Linked DNA regions of Astyanax mexicanus. The protein of the gene in region 1 purifies or fractionates together with the protein of each later gene. This does not show direct contact. Links are inferred from orthologs where the notes say so. Each region holds a gene or a part of one and is shown on either strand. Other genes may lie near its edges.

What was found. Proteins that work in one complex are often made in the same cells at the same time.
Region 2: the proteins of ppp2cab (region 1) and ppp2r2d purify together in Homo sapiens (affinity purification with mass spectrometry; 8 studies listed by BioGRID and IntAct, counting the BioPlex papers as one, with this or other methods). This does not show direct contact. The link is inferred for Astyanax mexicanus from reciprocal best matches to the Homo sapiens genes PPP2CA and PPP2R2D.

Annotation. Positions count from the first base shown.
Region 1 is NC_064424.1:48,042,479-48,053,187, reverse strand, and holds the start of ppp2cab (serine/threonine-protein phosphatase 2A catalytic subunit alpha isoform), read left to right. Parts: upstream 1-5,984; 5' UTR 5,985-6,201; coding exon 6,202-6,303; intron 6,304-9,264; coding exon 9,265-9,474; intron 9,475-9,577; coding exon 9,578-9,751; intron 9,752-9,839; coding exon 9,840-9,929; intron 9,930-10,025; coding exon 10,026-10,187; intron 10,188-10,321; coding exon 10,322-10,440; intron 10,441-10,709. Other genes in the region: ube2b (ubiquitin-conjugating enzyme E2 B), read right to left, coding at 413-541, 1,395-1,483, 1,640-1,729, 1,932-1,957, 2,189-2,269, 3,530-3,573. UniProt on the Homo sapiens protein: Catalytic subunit of protein phosphatase 2A (PP2A), a serine/threonine phosphatase involved in the regulation of a wide variety of enzymes, signal transduction pathways, and cellular events.
Region 2 is NC_064422.1:11,976,541-11,987,258, reverse strand, and holds the start of ppp2r2d (serine/threonine-protein phosphatase 2A 55 kDa regulatory subunit B delta isoform), read right to left. Parts: upstream 4,859-10,718; 5' UTR 4,620-4,858; coding exon 4,613-4,619; intron 4,266-4,612; coding exon 4,191-4,265; intron 1-4,190. UniProt on the Homo sapiens protein: Substrate-recognition subunit of protein phosphatase 2A (PP2A) that plays a key role in cell cycle by controlling mitosis entry and exit. Involved in chromosome clustering during late mitosis by mediating dephosphorylation of MKI67.

The sequences.
Region 1 (10,709 bases):
AAACCAGAACATGGTGGTATTGTTTAGATTGTAGAACAGAACTGCTGTTGGTGAAATTCTCCAACTATAAATAGATTTATTTCCTTATACAATATCTCAATATTTTTGCCAGCAGTTTCCTTTCCTTAAAACAAAGGTAAAGAAAATTATATTTTATGAATGTAAACCATCTGAAAGTCTACATTTACTGCAACAATACTACAAAGTCTGTTAGCAATAACTTATCATGCAATAATAAAAATAGATATAATAAAACAAAAAAGCACAATGATTTCTGCTTTCAGCAACATGTTGGCAAAGAAGTCCGTTCTGATTACGCGTTTTTTCCTCGAGCGGCACTTGTGTCGTTTCTTTTCAGTGATGAGGTAAATGAAAGAAATTGATGAGCGATTTTGGGACGAGGATTCGGACATTAGGAGTCGACCCAGCTCTGCTCCACGATGGCAGAAACGCGCTTCTCGTACTCGCGCTTGTTCTCCTGATACAGCTGAGCTGCCTGGCTGTTAGCGGGACTGTTGGGGTTCGGCTCGTCCAGCAGAGACTGAAAATCACAGGGAATAAAGACGTTCAGGAGCTTCAAACAGCTAATAAATCACATAATTAAACTTCTAATTAACCTGGAATTCTGTGTAAATATCTGCCACAAGTTGTGGAACAATTTCAGAAAAAACATAAAAATATAAAAATTAAAAAATTAAGACTTTCCTCCATATACAGCCCATAATATCACCAACAGATCAAGAGAATCTGAAATCCCACCGATCATTTAAACAAAATGTGGCCAAATTAATAAAAATGATACATTTTATTCTTATAGTCGAGTCACTGAGTGTAAATTCCTCCTCCGGCTGATTTTATTGGTTCCTGCTGCAGAGCTGCAAAACTTTAGGAGACGCTTTCAGGACAGCGACGTTTGGACTAATTTAAATATCTGATACAGGTTCAGTAACAGAAACAAACCAGGAGATTTTACACAAATCTGCTGAACCCAGAGCGTCAAAAGGCAGCTGCTGATACGTTCTGATAATGTGATGATAAAGGGAGGCCATGTTTACAAAAAAGTCAAGGTTTTTATTTAATTATTTATTTACAGAGTCTAAATATCATGCACCGAGACCAATTTGAAAAGGACTAGTTTAACCGGCCAATGAAAAAATAGCATCACTTATTACAGCAAACAAACAAAAACACTCACAATCAACCATGGAGCGAGATATGCCTGATTTTTACACAGCGCAACAGATTTAATAAGAACTAAAACTGTAATAAAACATCATGACCCTTTATTAGCAGTTAAGTATCAGAGTTAAAATTACAGAAACACAGAATCACACAGGATAAGATGATAATTCTTAACAAGAAATATAAATATATTTTACAGAATGATCTCGTACCTGGATAGATGTAAGAATAGAAGATACATCATACGTGGGACTCCAGCGATTCTGAAGAATGTCTAAACATATACTTCCATCTGCATAAACTACAACACACAACAACACATTCTATAATCACACACTGTGAGGCATTAAGGGTGCGCATAAACACACACACACTCGCTCACACTCACACTGAATAGTGAGGTACCGGGGTGATTGTGTATTTGGGATTATTGATCACAGAGGGATGAACTTCTCACCGTTTGGGTGGAACATTTTGGAGATAAACCGAACCGTAGGAGGTTTGTTAGGATATTCTTCTGAAAATTCTATCACAAGCTTAAACGTTCCTGCAAGAAAATGCAGAGTTAAGATTAAAATAAATAATAAACAGTCAGCAGTATGAAATAAACGCTACCTTACACTACACTTCTAATAACTGAACTCAGCAATTTAACCTCTGTTAAAACTGTGCTGTGTCTTTCTGTGCGCAGAATAGCGGGTGTGATTTCCAGGTATTTTATTTGTAGTATTAAGAGATAATTGGCTTACCATCTTCAAATGGTGTTCCCACAGGTCTGTAAAAAAAACACACATTTCTGGTTACTTAATACAACTAAAAACATATCAATCTTATCTGGTCAGGGAATTCTCACCAGTGCTAAATTATTAAATATATTGTGATATATTTTGTCATATTGTCCAGGTCTACTTTAGTGTTTTATTTATAAGTTGTCCCATTTTAACCCTGCTCTATCAGTATCTGCAGCTTTATATTGTAAGTATTAGTTATAAATATCAGTACTCACCCAAAAATAACCGCATTCCAGAGCATGATGTTGTTTTCTGATGGAGCTCCACTCACGCCCGTCGGCGGGTCTTCTTGAAGTCTGATTATAAAAGAGAGGAAACGCTTGTGTTTAAACACTAGTGAGGACGGATATCTGTGAACATGGCAGCACCTTTAATTTTACAGTGCAAAGTTCTTTAAATTCACTGAACTGAAGCTTCATGAAACAAAATTAACAGGATTTTTAGAGGCTGAACTGAAACGATTCCCACAATCCCTCAGTACAATTCACTCCCAAATCAGTGAAACGTCAGTAGTGTTGTTAATTATATTTTATATACAGTCAAATTAAATGTCTTTAGGCCTGAGGTGCGAAATACAGCATCAGCAGCATCGGCAGCAGGACGAATATTCATAACAGGAACCGAGCCGGACATTACTCACACATATACACAAAACCATAAATTACATCTGTATAACATATTGTATAGTGGTATATAAACTCTGGTTATAGTGCTGTATATATGGTGTGTATATATAGTGTATGCACTCTGGTTATGGCGGTGTATATACTCTGGTTATAGTGGTGTATATACTCTGGTTCTCTGGTGTTTTGGTGTATTGGTAGAACTCAGTTAGCGAAGGCTGGGAGGTGCGGATGTTTATTAGATATATAGTCAGTTGGTTAGATAGTTAATAAAGTAAATACAGTAATAAACACAGTAATAAATACAGAGGTAAAGCGCCGTTCTGGAGCGAAGCGGGTCGCGGGAGCGAGCGGCGGCTAACCGGCTAACCGAGCCCGGTGTTGTGTCGAGTTCTGCTACCCTGTCAACCAGCGCTACCCTAGTTTATAATGTTTAACTGTAAAAATACTGATTATTAGAACATGCTGCATGCCGTAGAAGTGTCGCTATGATATTTGAATAGCCTAAATCAGGATAAAGTTAAGGCAATATAGGTGATAAAATATTTACATATAGATATATATTTATATTATTATACATTTTTTTCATTGCTGTAACACTCAAGAAAACGATTACTGCGATTTCAGATTGTATAATGCACTCGGTAATAAAAAAAAACTAAATTATCAGGAAAAACAAGAAGTGGGTAACCCAGGTCCAGAAAATAAATATCCAAACCAGGGTTTTGTACCCACTGCCTGGGCTGGGCTGAGCTGAGCTGGGTGAGATGGGTTGGTACAAAACCTTGGGATGGATTTTTACTTTCTCGACCTGGGTCACCTATCGATGGGTAGCACAACTCGACAGAACACCATCCCCGAATAAACCCGCCCTCGACCACATATTATACACAGATATACAGGTGTATAAAGGTGTGTATAAAGGTAATGTACCGTTTGAAGTCTCGCATTAGTCTCCGGCGGGCCGGGGTGGACATGTTTCGGGGGTTTGATGGTAAAAATCGGAGCCGCAGGAGAACCAGGCCTCTTCTCTCTGCTCCAAACAACCCGTGACGTCATACCACAGACCCCGCCTCCAGCGCGCGCCTTCCCGACAAACACTGTTCACAGAAGCCTTATGTGTTTATTATTTAATTTCTTTTATTCATTTTCTTTTTTATTAGTTCATAACCCTTAATGTTATACGTTCTACATTTATGTAAATATCGGAGGTGTTTTAAATTATACTGTAATTTTTATTATTGCTGCTTAGTGTAAATCTCTCTAAAATGAAGGGAAATTTTAAATTACACAACAGATCTCGACAAACAAAATATTCAAAATATACATTTTGTAATTATCTGAGAACAAAAGAACACAAAAAACAACCCCTGGAAGGCTAGATGTAAATTAATACAGAAAATAAAAGTAAAACATTGAAACCCTATAAGTAGATAGATAGAACCTACTTTAACAATTTAGACACAAATATTATATTTGCTCGTTTATTTTTTTGAAGAAAACGATCCATTATTACATATTTGTGAGTGTAAAATAATGTAAATATCCGATTTCAGTATCTGGTGTGAGTTTCCTTCTTTACAGTAATAACTGATCTAAATGTTTCCGGTCTCTGTAGATCAGTCCTGGAGGAACTTTAACTCAGAACAGCTTTAACTCTGGGATGTTGGTGGTTAATCAGGTTTCCTCACATTAACTGATCACTTCACTCTGTCCACAACATTTCTACTGGATTAAGATCAGGACTTTATTGGCCCCATTACAAAACATTCTTGATTCGTTCTTGTTCTTCTTGTGTGTGTATAGTGTGTGTCTATATAGTGTGTGTGTGGTGTGTGTATATAGTGTGAGTGTGTGTGTTACTTGTTTATTGGTGGTCTTGAGGACACTGATGACATCATTACTGGGATGAAAGCTCCTGCAGTGTGAAGTGCTTGTAATTCGCTTTAGTTCATTAATATTCATAATTCAGCTTTTAATGTGCTGATGATAGTGATGATAGTGATGATCTTTGATGTTTGTGTTCTTTTCAGGTGACAAATGCCTCTCAAACCTTTTCATATATATATTTACTGAATGTTCAGATGAGTATAATAGGGGATGATGTCAGATTGATGTTACAGGAGGGTTTCTCAGCTGTTCTCAGATAAAGCTGATTAATTATCTTTCTCGTTTAAAAACATTTAAACATTTTATAGATCCGTATTTTATTCAATATTGAAGTTCTCAGTACTTCACCGTTACAGAAGTGCTGTGTGTGATATTAGCGGGTAAATATAAACCGCAGCTGATGAAGAGTCATCACACTGCTCCATAATTTGTTTTTACAGCATAAGATAAGATAAGCGTTATCCCTCAAGAAACCAAACCCTTTCCACACTAACTAAATATGAGCATTATGTTTTGGAATTAAAACACAGATAGTAACCTGACACAATATAACGATATATAATTTTTTATATCCTGTATAACAGAGGTTCTCAAATTGTAGTATATACACTGCTAGTGGAGAATATTTATGCACAAAGAGATGAATAATTATTAAAAACTATAATTTCTTCTATTTTTATAACTTAGGTTTGTTTATGTTAGTGCTGGTCTTTAACTACAGTACTATAATTATTAATATCAGTTTAATAAGCCCTACAGTAAAACCCTGTGGAACCGAAACAACCCCAGTAGTTTCTGTGTCAGAAAAGATATCAAAATATTTAATGTAAGATTCAATGTGATGCCATATATCACTACATCATCTCAAACTACGATTGTTTTCCTCTGTTTTCCAGATGTCTTAGTATGCATACTGCATGTCAATAATCAATAATTTTCCTATTGCAGAGGAGGATAAGGTCCACACAGCAGCTGCGGTTGGTGGAATTTTAGCTGAATGATATGTTGTTTAAAATGTCTGAAAACCATGATTGTAGAAAAATACATTATTAATTTATAAAAGTGTAAACCTCCAAATTCCATATTTACTCATAATGAACACATTATTACATATTGTGGTTCACACAGCTGCCTGGTTTTGAGGATAAACAAAAATTGGAGGGCTTCACACTGACGCTCTTAGTGTGGACTGTTCCTATAAGCTATTCACCAATTAATTAAGTTAGTTTTAAAGAATGAAAAAAGAATGTTACTGTTGAAACAGAAGAACAGTCGCCTGAACAATTGAACCTGTCTGTCGCCCCAGCTCGACCACGTTTCTATCAAACCTTATTTTAAAAGTGATTTATATATAGTATTTTAGGCACATTTTATTAAAAATAGCCAGTATCTAATATATCAAAAATATATCGATTTGTATGACGTATCGCCCAGCCCTACTGAGGACCAATGAGGAGGCGCGGTCCGCCTATCTGCAGCCAATCAGAGCGGCGCTTGCAGCCGGTAAGACTGCGTGCGAGAGGCTGTGTCCGCGGGCGGGACCGGAGCTGCGTGTTTATTTCCTGCTCAGTTTGTGTTTTTTTTACCGGATAAAATAGCGGATAAGAGCCGTATGAACCCAAGGGACTGATCGAGCTGATCGCGGCGAGGCGCTGGGAGACTCCGGGGCGGATCTGAGAGATTTATCTGCAGTTTAACCGGCTGAAGATCGCGGTATGGATGAGAAGGCGTTCACCAAGGAGCTGGATCAGTGGATCGAGCAGCTCAACGACTGCAAGCAGCTCTCCGAGAGCCAGGTCAAAACCCTGTGCGAGAAGGTACGAAGTGATCAGGAGTGATAAAGAGTGTGCTGGGGTGAGCGGGCTGCGGGTTGAGTGGTGCAGTGCGGGAGTTGAGGTGCGGGGGAGCAGTAAGATGGCGTCGGAATTTTTTTAACGCCGTTAAACTCTGGTTAGTTTGTTCCGCAGCGCTTCAGCGTTCAGTTTACTGTAACACAGATAAACACCGAGAATATCTACAGGTGATCCGGGAGCCGCGGCTATATTATTACTATATTATATACTCGCCCTGAAACCGCCTTGCCTGGCTTAGCATAGCATAGCATAGCATAGCACAGCTAACTACAGGCGTGTGGGCCGGACAGCCGCTAACTAGCTTAACCTAGCCTAGCCTAGCTCACTAACCCACCCGCTAAAGCCCGGCTCTCTACACCGCGCTGCTCCGCGGGGTCAGACCAGCTGCTATATTGATCATTAATCTCGCATAAAGAAATATTTGTTGTTATTTTAGGTTAATTTGAACTGAGTGGTTGTAGAGCCGGGTTAGCCACCGCTCTCCGCTTCTTTCTGTGCAGAAACTCAAAATGGCGCCGCGTTTCTGAGCCTCAACAGCAGATGCTACAGAGACCATTACACTAACATCACTAATCACCATAAACACACTAATACTAACACAATTACACTCTAACATCACCACCAACACACTAATACTAACATTACCACACTAACATCACCATAAACACCCTAACCCAGGACCCACAGTCAATTACACTACTAACACTAACATCACCACTAACACACTATTACCAACACACTTATACTGACAAACTAACATCACCAGTAATATACTAATACTATAACACTCTGGAACACTCGCCAGGGGCCTGCAGAGTCCATTACATTATTAACACAATAACAATCATTAACACACTAATAGATAATTAAAGAGAGAAATTAACAAATGGCTCTGTAGTCCCTATGATGTAATCCCTACACTGTTTTTTTGGAGGGGGGGAGGGGGTCATGAAATAATTTTTTTTTATTGTTTTGGTTTAGTTCTGGTTGCTGCGTTCTGGTTAACATGTTACGAAGTTAGACATATTGATATGCTACCTGTTTATCAATTGTTTCTTTTTTTTTGCCTAAATATGCAATTGGCCAGTAATGTAGCTGACAGGTACGATGCATGTCAACCTGTGTATTGGAGAAAAATTTTGCCTCTGTCTTTAAGTCACCTGTGCCGTAAATACACACATACATGCTAGTGAGCACACACACATATCATCAAAAAAAAAAAAAAACACTGAGCCAGCTCTGCCTCATAACTACTATAATGTAGAATATGTAAAAAAAAAAAAAGTGCTTTGTGGAGAAAGAGTCCATTACTCATCCCGGAGTGTCGGCAGAGCTAGAAAACACCGCAGCGATCTTGAGCTTGTGGTTCTGTTCGGAAAGTCTGGCTCTGGCAGATGATGTTCTAAATGGGGTTGGTTCCAAAGTGAAGAACATTTTTAATTTTGAAGATTGCAGACCAGTTTGCCTGGAAAGGCTAATTTGGTATCCAGCCATGCTCTTGATTGGGATCAGCTATCGACCGGCTGAGATAAGACGATCTTATTCTAACGATTTGAACTGGTTTAATTTGAGCCAAATCAGTAACTGCATCCCAAGTGTGCACACATTGCAGTGGAGTATTTGGATGTTTTCACAACAGCTCTATTTGAACCAGTTAAAACTAATTCTGGTTGGTGCAGTTTGTTTGGGTAGTAGTGAAAACAGTGCTGGGGGGGCCGGTAAATTTTATTTTATTTTTTTTGGTGCGTTTAGGTTTTTGCCGGTGTGTCTGGTCTTATGTAGGTCACTGCTGGTCTTGCTGTGTGTGAACCAGTCCTCCCAGTACACACTCCTCACACAACAAACAAAACCCTGACCTAATCCTGATGTGTACTAGTGGAACTTTATACACGACATTAGATAAAAGAGAGAGGAATTTTACAGGCAAAATGATCTGTTTAGACAAACCATGGAGGCCAAACCTTTTACCTAAAGTTGATATGGATGTTCAGGGCTCTAGACTTAAAGTCTCAAGATAAATGAATTAAAAAGAGTCTTTTTCGCACTATATACACTCCTCAAATATGCCTTGGAGTATCAACACTACACAGTTTCACATTAAAAGCTGAAATAATAATAAAAAATTCCAGCTTAAATACGATATACTAGTTCTTAGAGACAGATATTTCACAATAATTCAGAAGTGAAATCTGAGGGAGTTCGAAAGGTCCAGCGGGCTAAGCGCTGTCACTTCGACCACCAGTTCGAATCCAGGTCATGCAGTTTGTCATCTGCTTCTGGATCCCAAGACAACTGGCCTTGCTCTCTCTGGGGGGCTACAGTAGATGGCGCTCTTTCCTCTCATCACTCACAGGGTGATGTGAATCAGCACAAGGCTGCGTCTGTGAGCTGATGTATCAGAACCGAGTTGTTGCACTTTCCTCCGAGCGTTAGCGCTGTGATGCTACTCAGCAATGCTACATCAGCAGAGTCCTAATGAGTGGGTTGGATAATTGGCCGTGGAAAATGGGCAAGAAAAGAAAATTCTGAGAAAACAAAAAGGGTGAAATCTGAATGAAAAAAAATAAATTCTTTATTGTTCATGGTATACAAGTATAACAATATGAGATGGCCTGAGGACTTTTATCATGTAGCAGGGAAGCTACAATGGCTAACAGGTAACTGGCTATGCTAACTGTTTTCCGAGCTGAATAAATCTCTATTTTCTTAAGTAATTGTGTTGATTGCATGCCTTGGGAAGACTTTGAGTAACACCACAATGGGACATCACCATGGTACTTCGCTGACTCTGATTGGTTTAGAGCATGATATGGGTTGAGATGTGGTCTAAATTATTTACTTATTATCAAAGTTTAGTATAGTAGCTGAATAGCTGCCTATATATCGTGTGTTGACAGTGATTAACTGTTTTAATTGTTTTTCTAGGCTAAAGAAATTCTGACAAAGGAGTCGAACGTGCAGGAGGTACGATGTCCTGTAACAGTCTGTGGAGATGTTCACGGACAGTTTCACGATCTTATGGAGCTTTTCAGAATCGGAGGAAAATCACCGGATACGAACTACCTGTTTATGGGAGATTATGTGGACCGAGGTTATTACTCTGTGGAGACGGTCACGCTGCTCGTAGCTCTTAAGGTATGAACTACTGACAGTAAATTTTAACTACATTAAAACTAGCGTTTTGCCAAGATGGTGTTAAAAAGTAAAAAAAAAAAAAAATTGTTTAATTTATTTTTAGGTTAGGTACCGTGAGCGCATCACGATTCTCAGAGGGAACCACGAAAGCAGACAGATCACGCAGGTTTACGGCTTTTACGACGAGTGCCTCAGAAAATACGGCAACGCAAACGTTTGGAAATACTTTACAGACCTCTTCGATTACCTTCCCCTTACAGCTCTGGTAGATGGACAGGTAAATTCATCACCTAACTTTTAGTATTTGATCATTTTCTAAATGTATTCTGAATCTCTGCTGAAACTTTTAAACTGGATCTTCTCAGATATTCTGTCTTCATGGAGGACTGTCCCCGTCTATAGACACGCTGGATCACATCCGCGCCCTGGACCGCCTACAGGAAGTTCCACACGAGGTGAGTATGGATGACCTTGCTAATTACTGTGTGTGTGTGTGTGTGTGTGTGTACAGGATTATTGCAGTAGTGTAATGCGTGCTGTGTGTTCCTCAGGGGCCGATGTGTGATCTGCTGTGGTCAGATCCGGATGATCGCGGCGGTTGGGGAATCTCACCCCGTGGCGCCGGCTACACCTTCGGGCAGGACATTTCTGAAACCTTTAACCACGCCAACGGCCTTACCCTCGTCTCCAGAGCTCATCAGCTGGTGATGGAGGTGAGTCGAGGGGTAAACGCTGGATGTGAGGGTGGAGGTGATTATGGAAACTGTGGTGTTAGGGGTTTGCAGGAGTTAAAGTTGTATAACTGCCTGATTTTAATGAAGATTTCTAATGTATTCTTTAATCTCAGGGTTATAACTGGTGCCACGATCGTAATGTGGTAACGATCTTCAGCGCACCAAACTACTGCTATCGCTGCGGGAATCAAGCAGCAATCATGGAACTGGATGACACCCTAAAGTATTCTTTGTAAGTGTCTTTAGATTAATAAAATAATGTAGAAAGAATATGTGGATATGTTTGCTATATAATATTTTATGTATGTATGTATGTATGTATAAATATATAAATAAATAGATGAGGCACTTGGTTTAGCTCTGTTCTGCAGGTGTATTTTCCTCTGCTCTTTTAACTGGTAGAACCTGAACATCATTCTGTAAAAAAAAAAAAAAAGAGGAATATTTTGTTTTTGTTTCTTATCCCCAATAAACATGACTAACTATTGATCTTTTTTTCTT
Region 2 (10,718 bases), on another chromosome or scaffold:
CCTGAAGCCATTAAAGTAGTTGAAGCATGTACTGTATTTTTTGTATTATCATTGATTTTCTGGTCTATTTTCATACATAAGGCGCATTATGCGACACTTGTAAGGAACAGGGGTGTCACCATTTTTTTTTTCCCTTTTCAGGGGTCTCACCGCTGGGTGGTGCTTGGGGAGTAAAGTTAAGTAAAGCTAACCAAACAAAACTGTAATTCTTTAAACAAAATATAATAAATTAATATATATATATATAGATTAAATGTTTATCTGCACAGATTTCTCTCCTAAAAACCTTTTATTTAGGTAAAGAGTAAAATGCTTACGTTTATTTACAGTAAGCTAAGATTTCCAGATTTCCACTAAGGCTGGGTGTATATTTAAATCACATGCAATTTTTTTAGTAACTAAACAATGATAATAAAATGTATGTAACTGTCAGGTTAATTATTTATGTTTATGTATTTATGTTAATATTTTTTACAATGGCAGGTTGCGTGTTTCTTATACAATTACATCATCATCAGTGAAAAAACAGTATGGTTCATTAAATAAAATGTTGGAAATCAAGTTTTGCTTTTCCCCCCGCTTTTAATCTGATTAAAAAAAAAGAAAAAAAAAAGAAAGAATAATCGATTATATAAATAATTGTTAGTTGAAGCCCTAGTACTTATTAGGTGAGTAAAATAAAATAAAAAAGATTGTTTATAGCAATGATTTAAGACAAAATTCAAATATATATATATATATATATATATATATATATATATATATATATATATATATATATATATATATATATATATATATATTCTTTTTTTTTTTTTTTTTACATTATTTATTTATTTATTTATTTATTTTTCTTGAACAGGTTTTCAGCTTGTCTGGTGTGAAAAAAAATAAATAACCCACTGTTCACTTTCTGTTGCATCAACACTGTAGCCTCCAAGTGGTTTTACCCACAGAGAACATCTTCAGTGTTTCTACAGCATTGCACAACAGCCTGCTCTACACTAAACAATACAGAAGAGTTTCACACAGTTATACTCATACAGTTATATTGTATTTAATCATTAAACACAAATTAAACTAAATTATTGCAGAAAACAGGCAGAATAAACACCCACACTGATCTGAAAGAAGGAGTACGTCACCTGCACTCGCAGTAGTCAGATGCCAAACAGCTTGATTCATAGTGTAACATTAATTTTTCATCTCAATTTGTTCAATATTCTACAAATTAATTCAATATTTCTGTGATTGTCTTTTTTATCTCCAAAAATATCACAAAAAAATTAAAATAAAATAAAATATCAGTATATATTGTCCACCCCTAATCGTAATCACAAAAAAAAAAAAAAAAAAAAAAAAAAAAAAAAAAAAAAACATGCATCACCACAACCGGATGTTCACCACCAGCATGAGAAATTCACAAGTATACCACATCACACAGTGGAGAACTCTGTTTTCCGTTAAACAGCTTAAATCATCTCTGGACTTCATCTTAACACAGCTTTACTCAAAACTACAGGCCTGGCATGCACTGTGATATGTACGCACACACAAAAAATAATAATAATAAAACAGGGATTTAAAGGTTTCAAGAGTTCAAAGCAGAGCTTTTCTATCTGCCTTAGCACAACCTAATAAATGGACCGCATTATAAAGTGCACCATCAATGAACATCTATTTCAATAAACGTCTATTTTCATACAGTTCACCCCTAAACAGCAAAAGAGCTAGTGCTGTGGTTAGCAGCTAATGCTAATGCTGCTCCAGCCTTAGTGCTGGAGAAACTTTACTGAAACTCCTGTATAACTCTGTACTTCAGTAGAGTGACTTTACTGCTCCTTAATACCTGACTGGTAGAATTCATACATAAGGAGCACCGGATTATAAGGAGCTCTGATCATTTTTAGGAAAATTAAAGGATTTTAAGGGCAACTTTTAGTGTGAAAAATATGGTAATAGCGCCACAGCACTAAATCAATGAATAAGTGAGAACTGTGGGAGTGAACAGCCTCAGAAGTTTGTGTACTGAGGTGCATTAACAAACAATCTCAACATTCAACAAGTTTGGAGAAAAGAAAATCCATTATCGATATTTTCTATTAATACAACTAATAATTGATGTCAATCATAATCAGCAAAACACTGATCAATTATGGGTTAATAGATTTTCTCAAAACTGAGCATCTCACAATAAACCACCCTACACACACAAAATTCCTTTTTAATTTTTTTTTATTTCACATCATTCTGGCCCCGGATTGGACAGAATTGTATGCATGCAGTGAGCAGAGCGCTGTACTCATTTCAATGTGTGATATTTCTGAATATGTCTGTCTCTGCTCGTCCTATGCGTGACCTCACACAGCGACACAACAGCAGCTACACACGTCTCAGAGTAAACTCACGCTACAGACACGCAAACAACAGATCACTGCACTGACCTTACAATAATACAACACAAATACACCACTCTATAGAAGAAGAAAAGGAGAAGCAGCTCTATTGCACATTTCATTGTTTAAAGGGGAAAGAACCTTGTAACTTCAAAGAAATGATCCAAATAAACTATTTTACACCAATTTTATAAAAATCAGTTTCTCTGATTTTGCTATTTATAGGTTTATGTTTGAGTAAAATTAACATTGTTGTTTTATTCTATAAACTACAGACAACATTTCTCCCACATTAAAATATTCTCATTTTGCGCATTTATTTGCAGAAAATGAAAAATGGCTGAAATAACAAAAAAGATGCAGAACTTTCAGACCTCAAATAATATACATACAGTTCAGAAATCAATATTTGGTGGAACAACCCTGGTTTTAAATCACAGTTTGTTCATGCATCTTGGCATCATGTTCTCCTCCACCAGTCTTACACACTGCTTTTGGATAACTTTATGCTGCTTTATTCCTGGTGCAAAAATTCAAGCAGTTCAGTTTCAAGTTTTTGTATCAAAATTTCCTGATAGATGGATCAACAGAAATTAGCCAAATAAATTATATTAAACTACTGAATACTAGACTACTGGAAGATTAAATATTTCACTAGAACATTACTTTAAAAAGTCTATTCAAAAACTTACTGCATTTTATACAGTCACATATACACACATATATACACAGTTTGGACACACAGTCCAAACTGCTTGAGGTCTAGTGTAAAGTTTCCACCAATCAGTGATTGTTTAGAGAGACATGTCTGTCATCTGCTGATGTTGATCAACTGTGTTTTATTATCAATTCAATATTTCTGTGATTTTATTTTTGGAGGTGCAGATTTCATTTTCCAGCAGGACTTGGCACACTGCCAAAAGTACCAGTTGGTCTTATATATAATATTCGAATTTTCTGAGACACTGATATTTTGGGAGTTTTCATTGGCTGTAAGCTTCATAATCATCAACAATAAAAGAAATAAACGCTTAAAATAGATCACTTTGTGTGTTTAATGCATATATAATATATGAGTTTCACATTTTTAACTAGATTACTGAAATAAAGTAAAAGCCTATGATCCACCTCCTCCCTGCAGCTGCCCTACAGCCCTGTCTGTGCTGGAGTGTGAGGTGAGAGGAACATGGCACTGAATCATCCCTCTCTTCCCATCCCTCCACACAGCGCCCGCCTGCACGCGCGCGCGCACACACACACACACACACACACACACACACCCGAGGCTCGAGCTATGGGCTCGGGTTTGGCTCGTGCGTAAAGACGCACTGGCTGAACGAGCTGGACGAGTTCTATTTTCCATGCTGAGAAATTACGAACACAAATTGCATGGCCTAACCAGCTCCCTGCACCCTCCTCCTCCTCCTCCCTAGTGCTACTACTTCCCATAGTCGCGCGCACAGGCTAATGCTAATGCTAAAGCTCAGGCTAATGCTAATACTCAGACTAATGCTAAGGCTAACGCTAAGCAAGCACGAGTCTCTGTCAGCAGTCAGCGAGCGGCTAGTTAGCCACCTTAGCTAGAGAAGACATATGCACATATAGCTAACCTAGCTAACTAGCTCATATATGTGCATGCACCGGGGTGCATGCACGCTTAAATAAACTAACGTTAAACACCCGCGTGCGTGCGTTCGTTCTTGCACTAAACCAGCAGCAGCAGCACATCAACACCACAGTTACGCTGGTTTAGATGCATATAAAGATGCAGATAGAGGCACGCGCCGGGCTTACCTTCCGCCACATCCTCGTCTATGGCCCCCTTCACCTGCGAGAAACACCACTGGAAATCGTTCCCTCCTCCGACCCCTGCAGCGGCGCGCGGCGCAGAAACACACAGAGAACACACACACACATTTCAGTGCACTGCGATTATGAACAGTACAGTACAGTGTGTGTATATGTGTACATATATGTGTGTGTGTGAATGCATGGGTGCTTGATTGAATGATTGATTGTTTGTGTTCTGCAGAAATAGAGAAATACAGAGACATTGTGATAGATGGGGAGAGAGAGAGAGGGAGGGAGAGAGAGACAGGGGGGTCCAGGCCGGGTGAAGTAGCAGTTCAGTCCGGGTAACCAGCAGCCTCCTCCCGCCTCCTCTCCTCTCCTCCTCCGCTGCTGCTCCTCCGCCTCCTCCAAACTTCAGCTCTAACCTGCCATCGCGTCGCTCCGCAGCAGCAGCAGCAGATCTGTCCCCGGCCCCCGGCTCTCTCTCTCTTTCTCCGGCCGCGAGTTCCCGCCGGTCTTCCGCTGCCCGTAACGGGGAATCGCAGCGCAGGCCCAAACCGTGGAGAAGCTCCGCTCCGGTCCGGTCGGGTCCGATCAGCGCGCCGCGCGCATCGCCCGAGATTTCTTATTCCTCTCAAGATGGCGCACGCGGCCAGTCGACATGATGCCCGTGACGTCACCCCCGACCGGGGGCGCGCGCAGCGTCATGATAATAATAATAATAATAATAATAATAATAATAATAATAATAATAATACTTAATATGTAATACTTAATATACAAAATATACAATGGAAAAGTAGTGAGGTTGTTATGTGAAAAAAGTAGTCAAGAAAAAGATTGCAATAAAAAGTTAATAATAATAATAATAATAATAATAATAATGACGCACAAATTACTCAATCACTCTAATAACTTATGTGATAAATTCAAATATATCAATTTTTTAAAGCACAAAAGTAACAAAGACAGAGTTATTAAGAAATTATTTAGAACTCGTTAATAATAATAGTCATTCATATCATACCTTTTTTCACATCATTGTTTTGCTCTCTCATTATTTTGAGATACTAAGTCATTATTTTTATTATTTTGTATCTTAAAATAAAGATGTATCTCAAAAAAACTATTTTTTTATCTTAAAATAATAAATTTCAAAATATCAATTTAGTAAGGGCAGCCATTAACTTAATAATATGTGCTGAATTATTTAGGTGGAGGGAATAGAGCTGGTGCAAGAATTATAATATTTTATCAGTTACTTCTGAAAGAATTTAAGGTAAACCAGAACCATAAAATCTATTTTGGCAGAACATTTTACAGTTTATACAGCTAGACTCCAGCTTCTATAATTAAGATGAGAAGTTCCTCTTACACCTTTTTCCTAACAGCTAATTCAACATTATTACTCAGTTTACTGGTTAGCAATAACATTGCTCTTAGCATGTAGCTAACTGATAGTGAGCTAACCTAGCCTGTGTTAGCTTAGCATCACTATAGCTAAGGCTACCTTACCTAAAGTTAGCTCAGAATCGCTAGCGTTAACATAGCTATAGCTATAGCTCAGTAACGTTATTACTAAGGCTAACATATCTAGCGTTAGCTCAGTATCGCTAATGCTAACATAGCTAGCATTAGCACAGTATCGCTAAGGCTAACATAGTTACAGTTAGAATAGTAAGCAGCCTCCTTCAGCCTTTCAGCAGCTTTTATTTTAAACACAGTGCAAATAAAACCTCATTGCTTTGCAGTTCAGGAAAATTGTAAAATATATAAAGCTAGGCTAAATCACTGCCACATAAAATAATAGTTTTTACAGATTTCTGACAGAAGCAAAAATATATATCTACACAAATATATATACACATTTTTCATGAATTGTTGGACAGTTCCTTGATGATTGCTTTTGTTACTTGTTTTTAGTTGCCCCTAGTATATATACTAGTGCATCTCAAAAAAGTGAACATGTCAGTAATATGTAATATGTCAGTATTTCAGGTCAAAATGTGAAACTCACATATTATATAGATGTATTACACACAGAGTGATCTATTTTAAGTGTTTATTTATTATTATGGCTTACAGCCAATGAAAACCCAAAAATCAGCGTCTCAGAAAATTTGAATATTATGTAAGACCAATTGGTACTTTTTAGCAGTGTGGGCAGTGGGCCAAGTCCTGCTGGAAAATGAAATCTGCATATCCATAAAAGTTGTCAGCAAAGGTAAGGCAGTATGAAGTGCTGTAAGATTTTGTGGGAAAACAAAACAAGACTTTAGACTTGATAATAAAACACAGTGGATCAACACCAGCAGATGACATGTTTCTCCAAACCATCACTGATTGGTGGAAACTTAACACTAGACCTTGAGCAGTTTGGACTGTGTGTCTCTCCACTCTTCCTCCAGACTCTGCTCCCTTGATTTACAAATGAAATGTAAAATTTACTGATGATCAGTGATGGTTTGGAGAGACATGTCATCTGCTGGTGTTGATCCACTGTGTTTTATCAAGTCCAAAGACAGTGCCATGTTTTTTAGTCTTAAAATAATATTCTAATATTCTGAGACACTGCTTTTTGGATTTTCATTGGCTGTAAACCATAATCATCAACAATGCAAGAAATAAACACTTAAAATATATCACTCTGTGTTTCACATTTTGAACTGAATTACTGAAATTAAGTAACTTACTATAAACATACTAAATATTTAACAGCAGTTTGGTCACTATAACATTGTTAATACTATGATTGTTATTCACAGTCTGTATTGTCTGTGTTTCAGTACAGCTCTCCCTGTTGGAGTGGAGGGGTATCGGCTGAGAGGATGAGACCGGTCATGCTCCTCAGTTTTGGATCACAGTTTAAGGGTCTTGGTTCTGCTGTGTTTGAGGTAAATTACGCAGAACATTAAAGCTGAAAATGATCTCTAGCTTAAGCTATAGAACTGTGTGGTGCTTTATATGTATCTGTCTGGTTTTTGTCTGTGGGAATGATGTTTTTTTTATTTCTGAGAGATGGAGCTGCAGTTACAGGCTAGTGGCCAGAAGGTGGCAAGACGTCCACAGGTTATGTGCCTTTCTCTCTCTCTCTCTCTCTCTCTCTCTCTCTCTCTCTCTCTCCCTCTCTCTCTCTCTCTTTTTCTCTCTACCTTTCTCTCTACCACACAAATACTGGCAGCCCCAGGAGACATCCCAGCATCCCAGTTCTGCACCATACTCCTCAAGCTCCTGTGTGTGTGTGTTATATATATGTGTGTGTGTGTTATATATATGTATGTGTGTGTGTTATGTATGTGTGTGTGATCTGACAGCCTCTTCTTCTTCCTCCTCCTCTTCCTTCTCCTCTCCTCCTCTACTCTGCTGCCAGCTTCATCGCTTCATCCCTTGCTTCATCAGGGTTGGGGGTGTGTTCATGGTAAGCAAGCGCCCAACCCTTTTCTCTCTCTCTCTCTCTGTGTCAGCCTCCCTCCCTCGCCCTCTAAAACTGCTGCTCCTCTAGCAGCAGAGCTCTTATCCATCCTTCCCATCCTCCTGTTTTTCCCTCTGCTGCTGTTTCTGATGAATCATCCCCGGCTGCTTCTCCACTGAAGCCGGATTCTAGTTTTTTCTTCCCGTCCTCCATCGTTCCAGGGATGACATGAGATGAGAGGAGTACTGGAGGGGAGATGCTCAGTCGTCTACATGAAACTCTGGGCATGACAGCACATCCGTTCTCGTTTCAGAGCGTGTGCCGCGACTCACACAGCATGACGGAGGATCCGGCGGCCGCCTGGCCGCAACGCGCAGAAAACTGAAGGAGCAGCAGCAACATAAAGCAGAAGAAGAAGAAGAAGAAGAAGAGGAGGAGGAGGAAGAAGAAGCACAGCACAACCCTGGATCATGCACTTATGGTTAGATGCATCCCACTGTTACATCCCTGTATTCTGCATCCTGCATTTATTCCAACCAGCATCCATCCATCCATCCATCCATCCATCCATCCATCCATCTGCGTGTGTTTCTTCCTTTATCTCTCTGGTTGTGATGTAGCAGGAGCCAGGAAGGGTTCACAGTTTTTGGAGAGGCTGGGATTCCCTGTTAACCTCCCTGTTAACCATCTCCATCAGGGCCTGCTGGGCTGTTTGTCAACAACTTGTCAATAGAAGAGGATAGAATAGGCTTCACATGCAGGAGTAAAAGGGATAACGTGGTTGGCTATCGGTTTTGCAGTAAATGTAACATATAATATTAATAATCAATATTTAAGCTTATTCCAAGAGCTTATTTTTTGGTTTCATCATCTGCCATTGGGGTTGTTTCCTCTGGTTTCTCTCTAATAGATAGACTGTGTTTCATGTTTTTGGATTGTGTCCTAGGCTTGATTGGGGTCAGGTAGTAGCTGTGATGGAAGTGAAATGTGACTCTATTGAGTAATGCCTTTCAATGTTTAAGAATAGAGCAGACTGTATAAAAGTGTATATTAGGTGTTATACTTGGAGTCATAGCAGGCCTTTTGTTAGCTGAACAACAGTGTAAACATGCTTTATAAGAACTAAGCCATTCTTGTTGCTGTATGTAAGCCTTTGTGGTTGCTGTGGTCCTCCAAGTCTACAGATTTTCAAAAGAATAAGAGAGCACTTAAAAACGATGAGCTTCTTACAGTCTTAAGGAATGATTATAGCCTTGTTTAACGAACATAGTAAATACGCTTTAAACAGTAATGTTTACTCCATTTTAAGTTTATACTACATATTGTGTTCCTAGGTGGTTGCTATGATGTTGCTAGTTGGTTTCTATGGTCTCCCAGGTGTTTGCTGTGGTCCTTCATTGGCAAGCAGTATGCTGGTTGCTACATGGATGCAATGTCTTGCTATGGGTGTTAGGTTGCTGCTAAGTGAGGTAGGGGTGGCTAAGCGGGTTTCGTACTTAAGGGGCTTCTAGGTGGTTCCTCTGGTGTCCTGGGTGGTTTCAGGCTCCTGGCTACTGTGATATCTCAGGTGGTTCTATGGTGTTGCTGAGTGATTAGTTGATAGGTATAGGGTTGGTAGGTGTTTGGTATGATGTTCCTAGATGGTTGCGGTGGTATACCAGGTGGTTGTTGTGGTGTTGCTTTGCTATGTGATTGCTAGGCAGTTGCTGTTGTGGTTGTTCTTATGGTATTTCTGAGTGGTTGCTAGATGGGTGCTATACTGTTGCTGTATGATTGCTAGGGGATTGCTAGGTAGTTGTAGTGGTATCGCTGGTATTGCTAAGCGTTGGTAACCCTAAGGGTTGGTAGGTGTTTGCTATGATATTCCTAGATGGTTGCTGTGGTATCCTAGGTTGTTGCTGGGGTGTTGCTGTGTAATTGCTTGGCAGTTGCTGTGATATTGTGAGTGGTTCTTATGATATTTCTAAGTGGTTGCTAGTTGGGTGCTATACTGTTGCTATATGGTTGCTAGAGGATAAGTAGGTGGTTGCTAGGCAGTTGCTGCTATCCCAGATGGTTCTTGTGGTATTGCTAAGCAGTTGCTGGATATGTGCTATAAAATGACTTCTGTATTGCTGCACGGTGGTTGCTAGGGCATTGTTTGGGACTTGTTATAGTATCTCAGGTGGTTCTAATGAGGTTCAAGTGGTTGCTAGGTGCTACTACTAGGTGCTAAATTGTTGCTGTTGTGTTGCTAATATAAAGGGGGTGTTTTAGTGGTATAGGGTATAGGGTTGGTAGGCGTTTGCTATGATATTTCTAGATGGTTGCTGTGATATCCCAGATAGTTGCTGGACTGTTGCTATGTGATTGCTTAATAGTTGCTCTGATATTGTGAGCGGTTCTTATGGTATTTCTAAGTGGTTGCTATATGGTTGCTAGAGGATTAGTAGGTGGTTGCTAGGAAGTTGCTGTGGTATCCCAGATGGTTCTTATGGTATTGCTAAGCAGTTGCTAGATATGTGATATAAAATGAGTTCTGTATTGCTGCGTGTTTGTTGCTAGGGTATAGTTTGGAACTTGTTGTGGTTGCTAGGTGCTACTGCTAGGTGCTTGTGTTGGTGCCTGATTTGGTTACTCAGGTATATGTATCACTGGATCTTAAAAAAGAGACAGAAATGCAGCACTGAACTTTAAATTAGACGTTTGCATGAGTCTAGCGTATTTTACTTCTAATCAATATAGAATATTCCCCAGGTAACCTCCTTGTCTAGACTTAAAAGACTCAAATAAACCACATATACGTGGCAGTGCACCATTTTAAAGGTTTTCCTACCCAAGCACACAAAAAATAAGAGACCACTTCAGTTTCTGAATCAGTTTCTTTGATTTTGCTATTTATAGGTTTATGTTTGAGTGAAATGAAAATTGCTGTTTTATTCTATAAACTACAGACAACATTTCTCCCAAATTACAAATAGAAATATTCTCATTTAGAGCATTTATTTACCGAAAATGAGAAATGGCTGAAATAACAAAAAAAGATGCAGAGCTTTCAGACCTCAAATAATGCAAAGAAAACAAGTTCATATTCATAAAGTTTTAAGAGTTCAGAAATCAATATTTGGTGGAATAACCCT